Linked DNA regions of Saccharomyces cerevisiae S288C. The protein of the gene in region 2 interacts with the protein of the main gene of each other region in a biochemical or structural test. Each region holds a gene or a part of one and is shown on either strand. Other genes may lie near its edges. The genes, in order: SOD2, YFH1, ISU1 and NFS1.

Evidence for each region.
Region 1: the proteins of YFH1 (region 2) and SOD2 form a complex in vitro, tested with the Saccharomyces cerevisiae proteins (one study listed by BioGRID).
Region 3: the proteins of YFH1 (region 2) and ISU1 form a complex in vitro, tested with the Saccharomyces cerevisiae proteins (7 studies listed by BioGRID, with this or other methods).
Region 4: the proteins of YFH1 (region 2) and NFS1 form a complex in vitro, tested with the Saccharomyces cerevisiae proteins (2 studies listed by BioGRID).

The regions. Positions count from the first base shown.
Region 1 is NC_001140.6:122,378-125,292, forward strand, and holds SOD2 (superoxide dismutase SOD2), read right to left. Parts: upstream 1,214-2,915; coding exon 512-1,213; downstream 1-511. Other genes in the region: YHR007C-A (uncharacterized protein), read right to left, coding at 173-388; TDA3 (Tda3p), read right to left, coding at 1,732-2,915. UniProt on the Saccharomyces cerevisiae protein: Destroys superoxide anion radicals which are normally produced within the cells and which are toxic to biological systems.
Region 2 is NC_001136.10:244,330-246,947, reverse strand, and holds YFH1 (ferroxidase), read right to left. Parts: upstream 1,026-2,618; coding exon 501-1,025; downstream 1-500. Other genes in the region: HEM25 (Hem25p), read left to right, coding at 1-259; EXP1 (Exp1p), read left to right, coding at 1,366-1,815; ubiquitin-specific protease UBP1, read right to left, coding at 1,967-2,618. UniProt on the Saccharomyces cerevisiae protein: Promotes the biosynthesis of heme as well as the assembly and repair of iron-sulfur clusters by delivering Fe(2+) to proteins involved in these pathways.
Region 3 is NC_001148.4:295,840-298,564, reverse strand, and holds ISU1 (iron-binding protein ISU1), read right to left. Parts: upstream 1,013-2,725; coding exon 515-1,012; downstream 1-514. Other genes in the region: protein phosphatase regulator GIP3, read left to right, coding at 1,918-2,725. UniProt on the Saccharomyces cerevisiae protein: Scaffold protein for the de novo synthesis of iron-sulfur (Fe-S) clusters within mitochondria, which is required for maturation of both mitochondrial and cytoplasmic [2Fe-2S] and [4Fe-4S] proteins.
Region 4 is NC_001135.5:92,274-96,141, forward strand, and holds NFS1 (cysteine desulfurase), read right to left. Parts: upstream 1,998-3,868; coding exon 504-1,997; downstream 1-503. Other genes in the region: LEU2 (3-isopropylmalate dehydrogenase), read left to right, coding at 1-145; DCC1 (Dcc1p), read right to left, coding at 2,348-3,490. UniProt on the Saccharomyces cerevisiae protein: Catalyzes the removal of elemental sulfur from cysteine to produce alanine. It supplies the inorganic sulfur for iron-sulfur (Fe-S) clusters. Plays a role in both tRNA-processing and mitochondrial metabolism.

The DNA.
Region 1 (2,915 bases), on a different chromosome or scaffold from region 2:
GGAAATTTCGTATTTTGCTGTGCCCCCGGTAATTCCCGGGCGCGGCACAAAACCTCTCTAAACAACCGCCCATTGTTGCAATTGTTCGTCTGTACGGGACAGGCGGCGATCATAACGTCGCACGGTGCACAGCAATTGCCGTTTTCGGAGATCTCCCTGAGTAAGCAGTCGTTTACGACCTTAATGGCTTTACAATTATCGGTTGGAACAATAACAAGAACAATTGGTTCTCTGCCTGGTGGTGAGTTAATCTGGTGGGAATGTAGTGCACAGGCGCGAGTAACGTAGGAAGCGAGAGAGAACAAGGAAAAAGAAAAAGTGGAGGAAGGTTGGTTGTATTGTCTTTTTCGGTTCTTTTCTTTTCTTTTTTTCTTTTTTTACGATGCATGTATATGTATTTTAATAGTAAAATATATTATTAAATAGGGGAGTGTGGTTGTGTGATTTAGTAGAGTAGTTAGAATAAAAACGACACAGTGGAAAAAAAAAGGTATTTTCTTTCTTTCTTTCTTCAGATCTTGCCAGCATCGAATCTTCTGGATGCTTCTTTCCAGTTGACCACATTCCAAATGGCTTTGAAGTAGTCGGCTTTCTTGTTTTGGTACTGCAAGTAGTAGGCGTGTTCCCAGGCGTCAATGGCAACTAGAGGAACTAGTGGGCCTGTGACGGTATCCTGGTTGTAGGTTTGAACAACGTCCAGCTTGCCTCCATTAGAGAGGTTTTTCACAATGAAGGCCCATCCGGAGCCCTGCACGCCTGCTAGCTTTGTGTTGGTCAACTTAATCAGCTCGTCCAGACTGCCAAACTGCTCGTCGATTGCCTTTGCCAAAGCGCCGGTGGGTGGTTCACCACCGCCCTGCGACTCTGGAGCCAGGTTTTCCCAGAATAGACAGTGGTTTGTGAAACCACCGCCATGGAACTTGATGTTTTGTTGGATAGCAATCATTTTTCTTGCGTTTGCGGGAGAGGGCTCCTTGGCCAGAAGATCTGAGAGTTCTTGGAATTGGTCAACAGCAGTGTTGAATCCGTTCACATAAGTTTGATGGTGCTTGGTGTAATGCAATTCGTTGATTTGACCGGAGATATAAGGTTCCAATGCACCGAAGTCCCACTTCAAGTCTGGCAAGGTGACTTTGGTTCTCCTTGCTGTGGTGGAGAGCAATGACAAACCACCCTTCTTGGTTAAATTAGCAGCTGCTGTTTTCGCGAACATCCTGGTACGTTTTTAGGAGGTATAGTTATCAATTGGGGTTTCGTTCCTGTAGCAGCAAGTGAAAAGCAATCGCTGTAGCTAGCTTGTATATTTTGGGGATGCAACGCTCTTATATACAAGTTATAGCTTCTTCATCAGGGGTGTCTGCTACGGTCGCGGAAATTTTTCGGCACATCCCTACTTTTTTTTTTGCGAAGCTAGTGGTTCGGCCTGTGTTATTGGTCCAGGTTTAAGGTCGCGCCAACAATGATAATAGCAATTAGTAATCAGCTCAACCTCAAGTAGAATACTACACGTGCAATCGGTAGCATGCGCAAGGGCAAACAGGATAGACGCCAAGAGAGAAAGAGAAAGAGAGAGAGAGAGAGAAAAAAAAAAAAGAAATATATAGATTTAGGTATTCGTTAAATATATACACATTAAATGGCCTCAGAAATTTTAAATATATAAATAAATAAGCTCTTATATGTACAAATTTGTGCATATACTTTTCTTGACCTTTTTACTCCTCGGCTTGATTAAGAAAGGATGGTGGCGTCGAAATATAACTTTGGATCCAAACTTGAGATTTCCGCAGAGGTTGCTTCGCCATCAAGGAGAATCTCAGCCATTAATTTACCTGTTGCTGGCGCATTGTTAATACCCCAACAAGAATGTCCACTTGCAATATAAAGATCCTTGACATTTGTCTCACCAATTAAGGGACCAGAACTTGTAGGAACGTTTAAAACTGGCAAAAAACAGGCTTGTTTCCGCAAGAGATGGCCCTTTGATAGAGTTGGCGATAATTTGGATACGTAATGGTACAATTCATCACACTTCTCCGAAACTACCTCCACATCGTCCGAACTTTCAGGTATATTGACTAAAGTGTCGCCTTCGCCGCACACATAAACTTCATCTTTTCTAGCATACATTTCAGGGGAGAAAAATTCACGGTCGTTAACTTTTAGTTCAGCAAGAATAGCGTAAGGTGAAACTGTCTTTTCACTAGGCTTAATGGTGACAGAGTGGGCTCTCAATCCAGAAATTGGACAATCTTTTAGAATCTTGGAAGTCCAGGGTCCCATACTCAAAACAATCTGCTGGATGTCATTGATTTCAATGGGCTTCGCGTTCTCATCGTTGAAGATTGTACCCAGCTTAATGTCTGGATTTTCTGCATGCCCTCTGCTATTTCTGCGATTCTTGACGACAGATGGAAGGTACTTAAGAGAATGAACACAATCCATCTCGTCACACTTTAGCCCAACTACCTTACCTAGGAGAAGATCGACAGCACCTGTTTCCATTGCCTTCGATAAGATGAAATGGGTGAATTTATAGGGATGAAGCTGCGCTGTGGTATCAGTACCACCTAGTGATGACCAATCATTAACCAATTCTCTTCTTATCCAATCTAAATCAGCAGGCAAAGGATTATGGATATTAGTCTCTCTCAGTTGCTCCACGGGACTTACAGAGTCAAGATCAGATGCGCTATTTGTGTGGCTTCTCATGCGCTCATTTGTTAGAGAGTGTAAACTGGGTACTGAGCTAGAAACATGAATGTCTGATCCTTCTTCCTCGTTACTAGCGGAGTCGTTTTTCAAAGAAGAGCCCGAAGAACTCAAAGATGAATTAGAGTCCCCGATGTTAAACTTGTTGGATATGTAGCCCGGTCTCTTCTTTGGAGGAGGGACATTCAGATTATATGCCTTCT
Region 2 (2,618 bases):
TACAACAGTAAATACAACAAGCGCCGTACTATCCGCCAGTTTAGCCACCACAGTAACGGCACCGTTCGACACCATAAAAACGAGAATGCAATTGGAACCATCAAAATTTACCAACTCCTTCAATACATTTACATCTATAGTTAAAAATGAAAATGTGCTGAAGTTATTTAGCGGGTTAAGCATGAGGCTGGCAAGAAAGGCCTTCAGTGCAGGTATTGCGTGGGGTATATATGAGGAGTTGGTCAAAAGATTCATGTAAAAAATAGACACATATTTCATTGCAATCTCGCATTCTTCAAAAAAGGTATAAATACGTGTCTTTTTAGTTTCTTTATAGAGTGACGTTGAAGCTTAGTAGTACGTTCATACATACATACATACACACACGGTACAAAAGAAAAATCATATCAATAACAAGGAAGAGAGACTCTAACTATGAAATAGATTGGATGCGTTACAAGTGTTTAAATAAATATAAGAGAGTCGATGGATAAGTGCACTTATTGGCTTTTAGAAATGGCCTTCTCAACTTCTTCAGTAAGTATATCTGTTAGCTTTGTGCCATTTCTTAACGAAACCCACTCCCCATTGAGAAGGTCAAATCTGTTAGGCCCGGACAATGGTGATGCCAACCAAATTTGCTTATTTGGAGGCTGTTTGTTTATTACATACGTTCCAAAAGCTGGAATTTCCAATGTCATTACGCCATGGCTTAGCTCTACATCAGGTATACAATCCGGATGAGCCTCACTCAGTTCTTCTAAGCTATCTAGTAAATGGTCTAGGTAGTCATCTGCCTCTTCATGGTATTTTTCAAGCGGTAAGTTTAACACTTCTTGAGGCACAACTTGACCATCTGTCGAGGATTCTACAAATCTCTTCTGAAAAGTATTTACAGTATGATTCTTTTTATTTGTTACAGCTGGACAAAATCTGGCACGTTCTCCTCCTGCCGCTGCTATCATATATCTTCTGCCCATTACAGAGCTGACTCGAACTAAACTTGCGAGAGACCGCTTAATCATTGCTACACTCTATCTTCTCGCTTAGTTTTTTTTGAAATACTATCTTTCTGGTATTCAGTAGTACGTAACGATTTGTAAGTGTCTTCAAGCGAGGTTGCTTTCAATTAAAAATGCGATTCAAAGAGATCATTTACGGTTACTAATCCCTCATATCCTATAGGGCTATGTGGACATTGTAAGAAACGTGACTTTTCAAATATGATCACTGAATACGGTTTTTTGAAATTTGTCAAGTGCGATGAGTTGTATCTCTAAATCAAGCACCCATGATCTACGTTTAGTAAAAGAAAAGGACGAATTCCCTTAAAGTTCTCGGTGCCTAAGTCAATAAGTCCGGAGCATGAATCTATACGGTTATTTTTTACTTCTCATTATTGTGATTGCTTTCATTGCATTGTTGCCATTGTTTTCTGGCATCGGTACATTCAAACTAACAAAACCGAAATCGTCTGCAACAGCACAGTCAGCGACTGGTAAGCTTGGTAAGAGGGAATATTTGAAAAAAAAACTTGATCATACCAATGTATTAAAGTTTGATCTGAAGGACACGGAGGAAAGCCTTGGCCATGACAGTGCAAGTGCCTCTTCCGCTTCCAGAAAATTTGAAATAGACTCAAAGACAGGCCTTAAAAGACGTGTAATTGGACAGTACAACAAAGATCCAAATGATTTCGATTTCGATATTGATGACCTAATTAACGAAGATGAACTAGATGAACGGAGAGAAGAAGAGAAAAAGTTGAAGAAGTACAATGGTAAGAAAAATGAAGCTTACGAAGGATTTGTATAATAATGGAAGTGATTTTTGCAATTGTCCTACAAAAACTTTAGACATTCGTAACTAGCTAAACAATTGATTTAACGAATAACGTAGACTTTTAATTATTCAATTTAATTATAGTTATTGTTATTTACACAATTACGGATATCGTATTTATAACTTAGTTTACATCTTTACCAGAAATATCTCTATGGTCTTCTGTTCTCTCGAACTTCATCTGCTCTTGACCTTCCTCTTGCTCTTCACCTTCTCCTTGCTCTTGGCTTTCCTTTGGCTCCTGGACTCCTTTTTGCTCCTGCTCTTTTTCATCATCTTCTTCATTATTACTCTGAATAGCTTCCAAATCATCCTTCATCTTCCCAGTTTCTTCATCAAAGTCATATTCGTAAAATAACATAAATACACCGGGTGTTGAAAGGACTTCAGCTTCGTCCACAACGTACACAGTCTCATCAGATATTCTCCACCAACAACCCCTGTATTTTCTAAATGCAATGTAATGACCATAATTATGGGTACCGTAGTGAACAATGACAGAGCGCAATGAATATGTCAATGGAGTGGCTGGAACTGTGGAAAATGACCTAGCATAATTGATAGGTGGAGCTGGTATAACATCTTCCTCATCAGATGATGTTTCTAGTTGATCTTCAACATTGATCTTTGGTTCGTCAAGGCTCACATTGTCGATTTCTTGCAGTTCTTCATTATCTTTTACATTCTCGTTTTCAACATCAGAATGTTCTATGATCCTTTTTTTGATTGTATTCCCTAAAGCATCGGTTTCTTCAATGTACTCATCTTCATCATCG
Region 3 (2,725 bases), on a different chromosome or scaffold from region 2:
CGCTTTTTATTTCATTTTGTTGTAGCCCGCCCATACATGTATACGTATATATATATATATATTTATTGGAAGTAAAAGTAAAAAACTCGCTTACCTAGCACATGTTTAAACAAGCGTTGAAATGAAGGAAATAATGAAAGTCTAGTTTTGTCTAGCGATAAATAGTGTTAATTAAAACAGCCTTTTACAACTAAAGAATATTTATATAATAATGATGCCATATACCACACATGGGAAAACAAATATATAAGGGGGAAGTGGGAGGATGAAAAAAGAGTAATGAAAATACTAGTAGTACCAGGTGAGGTAAAACAAGCACGTCCGTCCCGCTTTCACCCTGGAGAAATATATCTAGGAAGATATGCATGAGAAGAGGGAGAGAAAGGAAATGCTAGATTAAGGGAAAGAAATATGACAATATTAATGAGAAACATCCATGCTTGCACAAATTAAGTCCAACTTGTTGATTAGTGAGGGTTTGATCTTGTTCTTGTCCCGGTTATCTTCTTATTCATTACGATAACATGGTTGGAGTGTTTCTCTTAGATTTGTAGTCCTTAATAGCTGCCTTGATCGCATCTTCCGCTAACATAGAGCAATGCAACTTGACTGGGGGCAAGCTCAACTCCTTAGCAATTTCAGTGTTCTTAATTTTTGCCGCATCGTCCAAGGTCATCCCCTGTACCAATTCAGTCATATATGAAGAGGAGGCAATGGCGGAGCCACATCCAAAAGTTTTGAATTTGACATCTTCAATAACGCCAGTAGAGTCGTTGACTTTGATCTGCAACCTCATCACATCACCGCACGCTGGCGCACCCACTAGACCAGTGCCGACGTTGGGCAATTTTTTATCTAATGAGCCGACGTTTCTTGGATGTGTATAATGCTCTATGACCTTGGGATGATAAAGCCTTTTCGTTATGCTGGACGCTCTCAAAACCCCCATGGCATTCACAGGTCTGATGGCCATCAGAGCAGGCCTTGCAAATCTCGTTATAACAGGAAGCATCAGGTTAAATATGTGTTATGTGTTGTGTTTTCCTTATTCAATTGTTATATGAAGGGATGTTCTTATGGATTTAAGAATAATCTCTGAACACAAATATATATGCGGAAGAGCGAAGGAAGAGAGCAGAAAAGGCTACAACGAAACCCTTTCATTTACTTATATAAATAGCCTGAGTCATTTTTCCTCTCAATTTTTGCATCATCATGATCATACATGCTTTTTTTTTCCTTCTCCATGGCTAATTGGGGTGCAACGCACCTTATCGCCTTTGACGGCCTTGGCTAAGCGGAGATAAAGCCTCCGAACTTCGGCCCCGAAGGGATTGGCGCGGATATACACGGAAATAGCTTGTCATTTTTCCTTCGGTTGATGTCCGCGGACCGAGAAGTGGTGTTTCCACATTACGTCTCAGTGATGCAATCATCATGGCACGGGCATTAATTAAGGTTAAGGAACCACTTCTCTACGCCATACTCCAAACAATAACAATATTAGACCTAGCCAATTGATACCCATGAGCGTGCAGTCATTGCCATGGATTATTCATCTCTTTTCGCTGTTCTCTTTCTTTTCAAGTTTGTCATCATCATGCCTTCACTTTTGCCTTTCCATCTTTCTTTTTGCTGCAAAATAAAGGGAAGAGGGGTAAAAACGCAAGGAAGAACAAGAAGAAGAGGGTAGTGCAAGAAAAAGAAAAGAAGAAAAAAAAAAAAAAGTAATCTTGATACCGTGAGCAAATAAGCTAACGGAAAGCGTAAGAAAGAAGAGCGTGTTTTGGGAAATAACACCACAGCATAAAGCTAAAATTCAGTTTATATAATCTATAGTAGTCCTATAGAAATTGCGAATAACGGAAACAATAGTCCACCAAAGCAAGCATAGGGAGTGGAGATAGCATCTAGGTTATGATAACTAACACCGAGTTCGATGTGCCCGTAGATTGGTTGTATAAAGGTAAGAGTAGACGGAAGACAAATACGAAGCCATCGAGGCCTTCTACGTCGCCAGCCTCCTCTTCATCTACGTCCTCTTCGAAAAACGGAGACAATAGCACGAGTGGTAACAGGTCTAGCAATGATAAGCCTCGTGCGAGGTCGTCATCTGTATCCAATGCAGCACTTTGTAATACTGAGAAACCAGATTTGAAGAGGAACGATGGTAATACCTCTGCATCAGACACTGATAACATACCGCTACTTACTCCTATTAATAGCGGTAACCGGAGCGATTCCGCTGACATTGATAATCCGGCTACCGTAGACGCCATAGACCTTATAGATAATGATGACAACGGCTCAAGTACTCAATTTGTAAGGAAAAAACGTTCCACTTCTATATCCAATGCTGTGGTCTCGTCCAAACCAAGACTGGCCAGTTCTGCCATAAACGCCACCGCATCTTCTTCTGTTGGCAAGGGAAAGCACCCGCCAATTTCTTCACCATCTAATGCTACTCTCAAGAGAAGCAACTCGACTAGTGGAGAAAAGACTAAAAGGTCGATTTTTGGATCTTTGTTTAGCAAACGGTCTACCTCTTCTTCAGCTTCCACTGCCAAGAAACCATTACCTGTTGTTAATACTAGCACGACTGAGAATGAGTCTGGTGGCATTAAAGCAGTTGCGACTCCTGATCCACGGGTGAAGGAGATATCATCACCAATGAGAGGAGTGGCACCAACAGCTAGCAAGCCACAGACACCTATACTCCCCTCCC
Region 4 (3,868 bases), on a different chromosome or scaffold from region 2:
CTTGCCTGAAGAAGGTAAGGCCATTGAAGATGCAGTTAAAAAGGTTTTGGATGCAGGTATCAGAACTGGTGATTTAGGTGGTTCCAACAGTACCACCGAAGTCGGTGATGCTGTCGCCGAAGAAGTTAAGAAAATCCTTGCTTAAAAAGATTCTCTTTTTTTATGATATTTGTACATAAACTTTATAAATGAAATTCATAATAGAAACGACACGAAATTACAAAATGGAATATGTTCATAGGGTAGACGAAACTATATACGCAATCTACATACATTTATCAAGAAGGAGAAAAAGGAGGATGTAAAGGAATACAGGTAAGCAAATTGATACTAATGGCTCAACGTGATAAGGAAAAAGAATTGCACTTTAACATTAATATTGACAAGGAGGAGGGCACCACACAAAAAGTTAGGTGTAACAGAAAATCATGAAACTATGATTCCTAATTTATATATTGGAGGATTTTCTCTAAAAAAAAAAAAATACAACAAATAAAAAACACTCAATGACCTGACCATTTGATGGAGTTTAAGTCAATACCTTCTTGAACCATTTCCCATAATGGTGAAAGTTCCCTCAAGAATTTTACTCTGTCAGAAACGGCCTTAACGACGTAGTCGACCTCCTCTTCAGTACTAAATCTACCAATACCAAATCTGATGGAAGAATGGGCTAATGCATCATCCTTACCCAGCGCATGTAAAACATAAGAAGGTTCTAGGGAAGCAGATGTACAGGCTGAACCCGAGGATAATGCGATATCCCTTAGTGCCATCAATAAAGATTCTCCTTCCACGTAGGCGAAAGAAACGTTAACACACCCTGGATAACGATGATCTGGAGATCCGTTCAACGTGGTATGTTCAGCGGATAATAGACCTTTGACTAATTTATCGGATAGTCTTTTGATGTGAGCTTGGTCGTTGTCAAATTCTTTCTTCATCAATCTCGCAGCTTCACCAAATCCCGCTACCAATGGGGGGGCCAAAGTACCAGATCTCAATCCTCTCTCTTGGCCACCACCGGATAGTAAAGGTTCTAATCTAACTCTTGGTCTCCTTCTTACATAGATGGCACCTATTCCCTTTGGACCGTAAATCTTGTGAGAAGAAATTGATAGTAAATCAATGTTCATTTCATTGACATCAATGTGAATCTTACCATAGGCTTGTGCGGCGTCAGTATGAAAGTAGATCTTATTCTTTCTACAAATTGCACCAATTTCTTTAATAGGTTGAATGACACCGATTTCATTATTGACAGCCATCACAGAGACGAGACAGGTATCTGGTCTAATGGCATCTTCCAATTCCTTCAAATCGATAAGACCTTGATCGTCCACATTTAGGAAAGTGACTTCAAATCCCTCCTTCATCATGGCCCGTGCGGCTTCCAAGACACACTTGTGTTCCGTTCTAGTGGTGATGATGTGTTTCTTAGTCTTCTTATAAAATCTTGGGACACCCTTAAGAACCATATTATTAGATTCGGTCGCTCCCGAAGTGAATATTATTTCCTTGGGGTCGGCATTGATCATCTTTGCTACGTGAGCTCTAGCATTTTCCACAGCAGTATTTGTTTCCCAACCGTAAGAGTGAGTGTTGGAATGAGGATTACCATAAAGTCCCGTATAAAACTTCAACATCGTATCCAAAACCCTAGGGTCTGTTGGTGTAGTGGCTTGCATGTCAAGATATATGGGACGAGTACCAAAACCTGTGTTTTCTTGATAAGCATGGCTCATTGCAGTGCTACCAGAAGCTACTACAGCATCTGGGGTGGTACCGGATGCACTCGCACGGGCACTAGCCTGTGCCTTTGCAGCAGCCTGAATATCGGTATGCGTTTCCAGAGAGAAGTTGTCGTCTAACTTCACGCCTGCTGCAGGAGGGGAATAGAATCTCCTGCTTACCAAACAAGCCCTATATGTGGCCGCTGGAACGTTGTAAACTTGAGATAATCTTGTTATCGATCTTGTAGCAGTTGATTTCAACATCTTCCAGTTGTAGCAGTTCCTTCGTGTATGCGATATATTTTAATGAAAATGATGTATCTGAAATAGAAAATATAACACACTAATGAACTCTGTCGGTCTTTACTCTGAGTGAGTTACTTAGATAGTCATCATATATCCCTGGGCGATGGCCTTACTATTTGTCAGCGACCGTATCTAAAATTGGTAGGTCACTATCAACTATTGCGGGTAATAGGGTGCATAATAGTATTGTAATATATATAAATATATAAAGCTACTATGATAGATATTTGTTGCTATTCACGTCATCCACTATTACTTTAGTGGTTCCGCTATATATTCGCATTGCCCATCGAAGGCAGTTTTGTGTGCTACCTGCTCGTGACCACGGTCTTTTTGCCCAGTCTTTTACGGCGGGCATACTTCATGATGAAACTGTCTATTTTCATACCTCTTGAATTTAGTTCTTCAATTAGAGGCTTGATATCCTCCAAGTCCCACTGTGACTGTAGCCTAAACAGGACTTTAAACCGTTCTTTGGGGTCCATTGGTAGTGTGCTTTTCGCTATATACTGGACAGTCTTATCGGTAGGCTTGAAATGATAGCCTCGCAGCATGTCAATGTCAATGTCACATGGGAAGAAAGGTGGGAAAAGGGACTTCCACTTGATGAGGAACTCATCAATTGGCATGCTTATTCCAGAAACATATTTCCTTAGCGCTTGAATCCCGTACCACTGAGCTATAAACGGTATTCTCAAGCGCCACGTATTGTTTTCAGCCTCTTGCTCTTGAACAGCAAATTTATTCAGCACTGTTTCAATGATTTCTCTTGTGTATGGATTGAACTCGTCCTCAATGTCCTTCCCCACAGCGTGATGTGTATCCTCAACATTCAGATGCTGTAGATCGAGTGATTCTGCCATTGCGCTCATCAGTAGTACATGCAGTGCTTTGAAAAGGAAGTCTTGTGAAAGAATACACAACACACCGTCTTTCACAGATCCACCAATCTTATGCCATTTTGATATACCTTCTAGCGCAGAACATGGTGAGTTCTCAAGTAGTTCTTCCAGGGTCCCGATAACCTTTGTAGATGACCTCTTCATGATTTTGTCGGAGAAATCCAGTTCTCCGTTGTATATTGGTACTGAATTCAAGTTCAATTCGCCATGTGTCTCTCTGGTCTCAAATTCTGATTCAGTCTTGGCGAATCCCACGACGTCCATGTACGGCTTGGACAGTCCAAACAAGAGCGTTTCGTCGAAAGTAATAGGTTGTTCAGGAACAAATTCTCTCATTAGTAGAACTGTGTTTGAATGTTTGCGCTGCTTCAGCACCCAAGTCTTGTCGTGCGAACACAGTACAACTTCAGACTTGTCTTTGTCCAATGACTTAAACCTTAACTGGTGATTTTGAACCGGATCCTGTATTATATCCAGTAACTCTGGTGTCAACTGGATCAGCTTATAAGATGGATCATACTCGGGTGCGGAATGTAGGTTGATGGACATGGTACAGGATTATTAGTGAGCAAATCTCTGGTGGATTTTTACCGTTCATCTCATAGTGCTTTTTTAGTTTATTTTTCACTTTTTTCTGGTTATACTATACGCTGCCTACTGAAGCAATAAGCAAGAAACACAACAGTATAAAGGGACAAAGATAATAAACCGCCTACTACTAAATAATATCGCTGTGGTATGCTACTCCTAGAGATTTCGATCACCATCGTGGTGCTCTTTGTCATACGCATAGAATTGACAAAAAAGAACCCTAAGCTATAAATTAGGTCATGTTGAGCGATTGCCAGTTGCCAAGACCTAGGGTTTTGTTCGAACAATTCTAAAAAGGTAAATAAAAACAATGGTAAACAAAGGCTTTGATCTTCA